Linked DNA regions of Danio rerio. The protein of the gene in region 1 binds, or shares a complex with, the protein of each later gene. Links are inferred from orthologs where the notes say so. Each region holds a gene or a part of one and is shown in the gene's direction. Other genes may lie near its edges.

Region 1 (4,365 bases):
GTCACTTCTTGTATTGTGAACTCAGTTTGTCATGGGAGAGTTGTTCTGTGGTCAGAGAAAAGCCATCTGGACTGTTCTGAGACCCGAAGCGGAACAAAAGATTTGTCAAAAAGTGCTCGTAAAAGATTATTATGAAGAAAAATCTGACATGTGTTGCATGGTTGATTTGAAAGCTCTTTTCCCTATCTTTATGGAAAGATGATTTTGTCAAGAAATATTTAAATACCTTAATGTACAGTTTTTACTGTATTTTACAGCACATCAATGTAGTGTTTTTCTGCGTTTTCTTCACATGAATAAGAGTATAATGGAGTGTTTTTGGAGTTGAGAAAAAATACATGAAAGCCAAAGCTCAGAAGGCAGAAAACACCCTTTTCTGAATTATGATTAAAACCATCTGAAGAGGATCAAATAACACACATCACAGAACATGGAAATATATACTCACCACATCAGGTCATTTTGCAATCTTTAGAAAAAAATAAAAATAAGATAAATAAATAAAAACTCAACAGCTTTACTGCAGATCTCCGTTGTTTTTCTGCTCAGTGTTTCTAAAAATACAGCAAATGTTTTTTTGTCCAATTTGTTTGTAACAACCAATGACTTCATGTTTTATAGTTCTTATGAGGGTTTTAGTAGGCTATGTGAGTAAAAGAGTATGACACAGTATTTTAAGTATATTCTATCTTTGTAATTTTTTATGGATAAAAAAAGATGCAAAATTGTTTCTTTTTCTTGAACACAAAATGCACACATATATGAAAGATTAAGCTTCATTCTTTCCAAAACATGTTTAGCAGGATAAATTCTATGGAGAATTTGCCCGCGTCTCATGCTTTTTTTTTTTTTTTTTTTTTTTTTTTAATATACGAAAATGAGAATATACAATCACAGGATGTTAACAAGAAATTGAAGAGACAAAAAGAACAACATTTTTGGAAAAAGAAATAACTACAGATAACAAAAAAATAAACAAACAAACAAAAAAAAAAAAACAGGAGGGGTAAATACATTACACGTTAAAGAAAAATATTATATAATTTACAAATTTCAGTTATTTTTAAAGCCTTTTTTGAGAAAGAGTTAGACACTGTTTCAAAGTAATACTGCATTTCAGTAAGCAAAATATTAAAAAAAGGTTTTTGGTTTGAAAATTTACATTTATGGATATAAAATTTTGTTAACAAGACAAGAAGATTAAGAAAATATGTTTTCTTTTTATGTAAAGCCCCCGTTCCATAATCAACAAAACCAAACAAAACATTCTCCCACAGCAAGGAAAATTCCTCATCAACATTCTCAATTATAAAAAGTAAGAAGTCTTTCCAAAGCAACCTAGAGTAATTGCATTGCCAAAATAAGTGAACCAGGGACTCAGGGTGCTGCCCACAAAATGAACAATTAATATTAATATTTTTTTATATTCATGCAGGATTGAGCTCGAGCTGCCGCGTGACGTATCCAGATTTGGGTGATTGACGGGCCTGTGGGCCAATGAGAACAAACGCTGACGTGAAAGGGATGATCCGGACGCAAACCGTATGTTCGGTTGTAGATTATTTACACCCGTTACCAGGCAGCGAGACGGCGCACGACGGTAAAGCTAAATACAGATTTATTACATTTACTAACTATTTCAGTGGAATAATTCTATAATCTGGAAAGTTTCTCTTTTGTCTTTTGAGCAGAATAATGTTTATTTCCTGCCTCGAGCGACTACAGTCTGCTGTTAATAAGAGATTTCGGCTAACGTTACTTTATAAAAGGCTGTTGCTAACTTTAACTTTACTCAACTAATGCTATGCAGTTTATCCCTCCATTATGAATGTTTTATTAACGAACCGTGTCATCCAGGAGCTGCTGTGAGGTCCACACTGAAGATCTGAGATGTATTGGGAAGATTTCTGACGTCAGTAACGTTTAATGCATAACGTTAGAGCACAATGTCATCGCCAGGGTAACTGTTAACATTAATCTGTTTTTATTTTTTACTATACGTTAACTTGAGTATAAGCTTAGAGCAATTCTGTTTTACGGCTGTTTCTAAGTTTAAGTTGTCCTGTTGTCCTCAGTGATGTACGAGAGAAAATAAAGAAGAAGAGGAGAGAACTGCAGGAGTCTTTAGGAAAAGTCAGGGATGATAAACAGGTAACAACAGAGTGCGGTATTTCTATGTTAAATATACTTACACTCACCGGCCACTTCATTAGGTACACCTTACTAGTATCGGGTTGGACCCCTGTTGCCTTCAGAACTGCTTTAATCCTTCGTGGCAGAGATTCAACAAATATTCGTGGCACTGCAAATATTCCTCAGAGATTTTGCTCCATGTTGACATGATAGCATCACGCAGTTGCTGCAGATTTGTCGGCTGCACATCCATGATGCCAATCTGCCGTTCCACCACATCCCAAAGGTGCTCTATTGGATTGAGTTCTGGTGACTGTGGAGGCCATTTGAGTAAAGTGAACTCATTGTCATGTTCAAGACACCAGTCTGAGATGATTCACGCTTTATGACATGGTGTGTTATCCAGAAGATGGAGACACTGTGCTCATAAAGGGATGGACATGTTCAGCAACTATACTCAGGTCGGCTGTGGCGTTGACATGATGCTCAATTGGTACTAATGGGCCCAAAGTGTGCCAAGAAAATCTCCTCCACACCATTACACCACCACTACCAGCCTGAACTGTTGATACAAGGCAGGATGGATCCATGCTTTCATGTTGTTGATGCCAAATTCTGACCGGACCATCCAAAATAGAGGTAAAGATGGTTTTATATTCAGACATTCTCCTTAATAATATAATTTCAAAAAAGTATTCTTTGCAAATTCTGAATAGGGAAATCATATTGGCAGCCAATGACTTTCAAAGTACAACATTGTTCACAGTGAATTAGATAGTGTTAATGTTGTTTAGAAGTATACTTGCATGCTACTTCCGATTGAATATTCAAAGAAACATGGTAAACAATATAGAGACTGTTTAATTAATGAATGTGAGAATATAAAACCAACTTTATCTCTATGCATCCAAATGTGTCAGCAGAAATGGAGACTCATCAGAGCAGGCAACGTTTCTCCAATCTTCTATTGTCCAGTTTGGTGAGTCTGTGTGAATTGTAGCCTCAGTTTCCTGTTCTTAGCTGACAGGAGCGGCACCCGGTGTGGTCTTCTGCTGCTGTAGCCCATCCGCCTCAAGGTTGGACATTTTGTGTGTTCAGAGATGCTCTTCTGCAGAGCTCGGTTGTAATGAGTGCTTATTTGAGTTACTGCTGCCTTTCTATCAGCTGGAACCAGTCTGGCCATTCTCCTCTGACCTCTGGCATCAACAAGGCATTTGCGCCCACAGAACTGCCGCTCACTGGATATTTCCTCTTTGTCGGACCGTTTTCTGTAAACCCTAGAGATGGTTGTGCGTGAAAATCCCAGTATATGAGCAGTTTCTGAAATACTCAGATCAGACCATCTGGCACCAAAACCATGCCTCGTTCAGTCACTTTAATCCCCTTTCTTCCTCATTCTGATGCTCACTTTGAACTGCAGCAGATCGTCTTGACCATGTCTACGTGCCTAAATGCATTGAGTTGCTGCCTTGTGATTGGCTAATTAGAAATTTGCATTAACGAGCAGTTGGACAGGTGTACCTAATAAAGTGTCCGGTGAGTCTATAATGCACAGTTATTGACAATAACGTTTAGGTGTCAAGTTGTAAAGTTGAAGTAAACACTTTTAAACTATAATAAACCAGACAAATGGGTTGAACCTAACTTAGTGGTTCTAAAGGATAGTGGCAAAGTATAGTTAAAGGTTTAAGTTTGGGGTCGAACTGTATTCTTATATAGTTATTTAATATGCCATAAAGTGAGTCATTTTCTGAACATGCCTGACAAGATTTCATGCAGTGTAAATTGTTGTTACTCTCAATGACTAGTGCTGTCTTCTGTATGTCATAGTTAAAATGTACTAATGTCATTGTTTCAGTAGAAAAAGTAAATAAAAAAAACTATTTTGAAGGTACAGTTAACACAAAAAAATGACATTTTCTCTTCCTTTACTTGTTTGAAACCTGTATAAGTTTCTTCTGTTGATATACTGAAGAATCAACAGCCATTAACCTCTATTGTATATGTTTTATTTCTACTATGGATGTCATTGGCTGCTATTCCCCCATCATTCTTTTGAATATCTTCTTTTGTGTACAACAGAAGAAAGAAACTCATAAAAGTTTGTAATGTCTTGACTGTGTGTAAAGGAAGAGGAAATGTTCATTTTCGGGTGAACTGTTCCTTTAAATGGACATAGTGTAATCTTTAAAACGTGCATTTCCCCTCTTGTAAAGGTCCCATGAAGTGCTT
Region 2 (3,655 bases), on another chromosome or scaffold:
CATAATCAAAATTATTTTCACATAATTTACAGTGAATTTTATTCAGTACAGTTTTTTTCCTCAACACTAAGTTGGACAGATTTTTCTGAGAATTGTAATGTGCTATAACAATAATGTCCTAATTTGCAATTTGCATTTACAATTGTATGCAAAAGTTTGGGCACCCCTCTGTGGCTGCATAGTAATGTGCTCTTTCTTTATAAGAGAAGATCGGTTTCCATTTGGCTTCTAGAGAAAGCTACATGATGTCATGTTTTTCAGACAGAAATATGTAGTGTAGCAGTATTGAGACGCATGAAATTTAATTGAAACTGAAAAATAGACTATGCAAAAGTTAGGACACCCTCTCTTTTGTGCGAATTTTAAAACCTGAAGTCACTTAATGCTGATTGATTACAACACAAAATTGATTTGAGTGACAATCCTAATACAGATGCAGCCAATCATGAAAAAGGATATTTAAAATAGCTGATTGCTAGTTGTGCTTCTCCTTATTGGGAACTACAAAGAAGCAACATAGGAACCTCAAAAGAACTTCCTAATGACCTAAAAATTAAGACAATTCGACATGATTTAGGAGAAGTATGCAAAAAGCTATCAAAAAGTGTTAACGTCTCCACAGTCAGAAATATAGTAAGTAAATGGAAGGCCACAGGAACAGATCTTGTGAAGGAAAGATGGGGTAGGCCAAGAAAATTATCTCAAAGGCAAAGAATAGTTAGAACGGTCACAAACAAACCACAGATCACCTCCAAAGATTTCCAGGAATGTCTTACTGCTGCTAATGTCACTGTACATCGTTTCACGGTTCATCTCAGTCATTCACAGTCATATGAGGTATGCAAAGGCTCATCTAGACTGGCCTGAATCGTTTTGTATAAATATACAGTGGACAGATGCTACAATCATGGACGCTTGGCATGGTGGAAAAAAAAACACAGTATGCCAGGAGAAGAACCTGCTCCCTACGGTAAAATTGGTGGAGGGTCCATCATTCTGTGTGGATGTGTGGCAGGCACAGGTACTGGAAACCTTCTCGTTGAAGGTTGAAGTTGAAGGTGGCATGATTGCCACCCACTATCAGCAGATTTTTAAGAACAATGTTCAAGAATCAGTCAAGAAGCTAAAGTTACGGTAGGATTGGATGTTTCAGCAGGACAATAACCAGAAACACAGTTCCAGATCTACCAAGGAATTCATGCTCAGACGCGATGCAGTGTTCTATAATAGACTTCTCAGTTCCCAGACTTGAATATCATCGAAAATCTAGATTGATTTGAAAAAGGCTGTTCATGTTCGGCACCTATCAAACCTGGATGTTCTGGAGACATTTTACAAGGAAGAATGCCCCAAAATGCTTCCAGCAACACTTTAGGGACTTATCATTGGCTATAAGAAGCGTTTACAGGCTGTTTTTTCAGCCAAAGGTGGCTCTACAAAATATTAATTTCATTATTCTGTTGAAGTGCCCAAATTTTTTCATCTCTTTGTTTTTGTTATAATTTAAATTGCATTGCATTTGTTGATTAAATAAGTTTTATGTCAGATCTGAAATGTTGCTTTTATCCTAGAGTATAAAATCTATCCAAATTAAATGGCTAATGGGTTTTCCATGGAACTGTATCATTTATTCATTCAGTTTAATATTGTGGTTTATCAATTAATCATTACAAGGATGTGCTATTGTCACGTTTGGTTCCAGTTTTACAAATCTAAACTAAAGATCTAATTTGTAAAATAAAGAAAATGAATATCAGCTTGTTCAGTGGTGGCTTTATTGTGCTCTCAGGGCGTCATAGAATGACCTGCCGCACATGGAGAGCAGTCCAGCGTGGCACAGTGGCAGAACTGAGACGCTTCTTCATTGGTGGAGCTCCTGAACTCGAGGACATCAGTTACGTCAGAATACCTGGCACTTTTAAGGTCAATCATTATACATTTTCTGCTGTGAAATTTGTGTAATGGCATGTTTAGTAATTCAGTTAAACAATTGAATGTTCTAATCTACTGCCTTTAGGGAGAGAGATTGAGTCGCTTTGGCTTTCGCACTCAGACCACTGGAAGTGTGACCTTTACTCTTAATTGTATCCAGCATGCCAGGTCAGCCAACAGCATCAGCGAATCTTGCATGACTGTATTGTCTCTTTAAGATTGAATAAGAGCTTCTGGTACTATATTCAGGGCTTTTATTGATGCCAGCACACTGAAGAAGAGAAGACAGACTGTTCTGGATCAGTTGGGGGGCCACAGTCAGCAAGGCTCTGTCTATAATGTTTTGGGTAAGAAAGATCTAAATAACTTAAATTGGGGTCAATATTGCTTTCAAAGTTCCCACTAAATCAAAATTAACCATATGATTTTGTTAGCTCACATCTCTGCATGTCATTAAAAAAAAATTGCCCTTCTAATATTTGATTTGAAGTCTGTAAAAAAATTGTCAGATTACTTCTATTTTAGTAATTGAGTGTGGCTAACATATTTAACCCTGCTGCTCCAGTTGTCAGCTTTGACAACAAACAGAAATAGTAAGCAGGAGGAGTCTGTTGTAATAACTCTCCCCAAACCCTTTTCCCAATCTTTCTGAATAAAACACCTACTTTACTACATTCATTTAGCTCGCAGTAGAAAAAAAAGCCACACCCCTGTTACGTCATTTTTATATACTGTTTCTCTAGGGGTAACACTTTAGTATAACTATCCATTATAACTAGTTAACAGATCATTGTTAACTATTAGTTAATGGGTTATAAATGCCTTATTAAATAAAAGTTAATAGTTTGTTAATTGTTTATAACTGTGCCTTATAGATAGCCAATAGATATTTTACAAGCTGTTAGTTAACAAGTTATAAATGACTTGTTAAGTGTATTTTAATGATTTATAACTATACCTAATAAAATTGTATTAGATCATGAACAAGCTGTTAGTAAATCACTTACTAAAGACTTGTTAAGTATCAGTTAATAGTTTTTATTTGTTATTGGGTTGTTTTTCTTAAGTTGCAGCTCTTCTTCATTTATTAACTGTTAGTAAATGAGGAATAGTTGCAACTTTAGAATAACTTCCCAATAACATACCTAAGCTAATAACTAACACTTAACCAATATATTAACTCTCACTTTACAGATCAGTTGTTCATAATTTAACCATCTACAAATACCATTGACAGCAAATGGATGGAACAAGTTGAAGCTACAGAAATTTCATGTGATGTTTAAAATATAACATTTTTGTACCGTAACCTTGTTCCGCTCATAGGCTTTTCTGTGTGCTGTAATTTACCAAAGAAACTCCACAGATGAAATGTTGAACATTGTGTTTAATGTATAGAAACACACATACTGAGCCATCACATGGCATAACAACAGTATAGAACAGAATACAAACCCATAAGGTTTGGGCACTTTTTGTGCTAAACATGAAAACAAAATAAATAAATAAATATTTTATTAGAAAAGTTTGACAGAAGTTTCACTGTTGTTATTAGATGGTAAAGAATCTCAACAATTGATCTGAAGAGTGAGATTTATTATATTAGTTAAGTGTTAGTTATTAGCTTAAGTATGTTATTGGGACGTTATTCTAATGTTGCAACTATTCCTCATTTACTAACAGTTAATAAATAAAGAATAGCTGCAACTTTAGAATAATGTCT

Evidence for each region.
Region 2: cc2d2a (region 1) and mks1 share a complex: the UniProt entries of both Homo sapiens proteins name them as parts of the tectonic-like complex. The link is inferred for Danio rerio from reciprocal best matches to the Homo sapiens genes CC2D2A and MKS1.

The regions. Positions count from the first base shown.
Region 1 is NC_133198.1:2,297,234-2,301,598, forward strand, and holds the start of cc2d2a (coiled-coil and C2 domain-containing protein 2A), read left to right. Parts: upstream 1-1,544; 5' UTR 1,545-1,600; exon of another isoform or gene 1,601-1,857; 5' UTR 1,858-1,946; coding exon 1,947-1,960; intron 1,961-2,075; coding exon 2,076-2,151; intron 2,152-4,365. UniProt on the Homo sapiens protein: Component of the tectonic-like complex, a complex localized at the transition zone of primary cilia and acting as a barrier that prevents diffusion of transmembrane proteins between the cilia and plasma membranes.
Region 2 is NC_133180.1:61,428,735-61,432,389, reverse strand, and holds part of mks1 (tectonic-like complex member MKS1), read left to right. Parts: intron 1-1,789; coding exon 1,790-1,923; intron 1,924-2,017; coding exon 2,018-2,100; intron 2,101-2,181; coding exon 2,182-2,279; intron 2,280-3,655. UniProt on the Homo sapiens protein: Component of the tectonic-like complex, a complex localized at the transition zone of primary cilia and acting as a barrier that prevents diffusion of transmembrane proteins between the cilia and plasma membranes.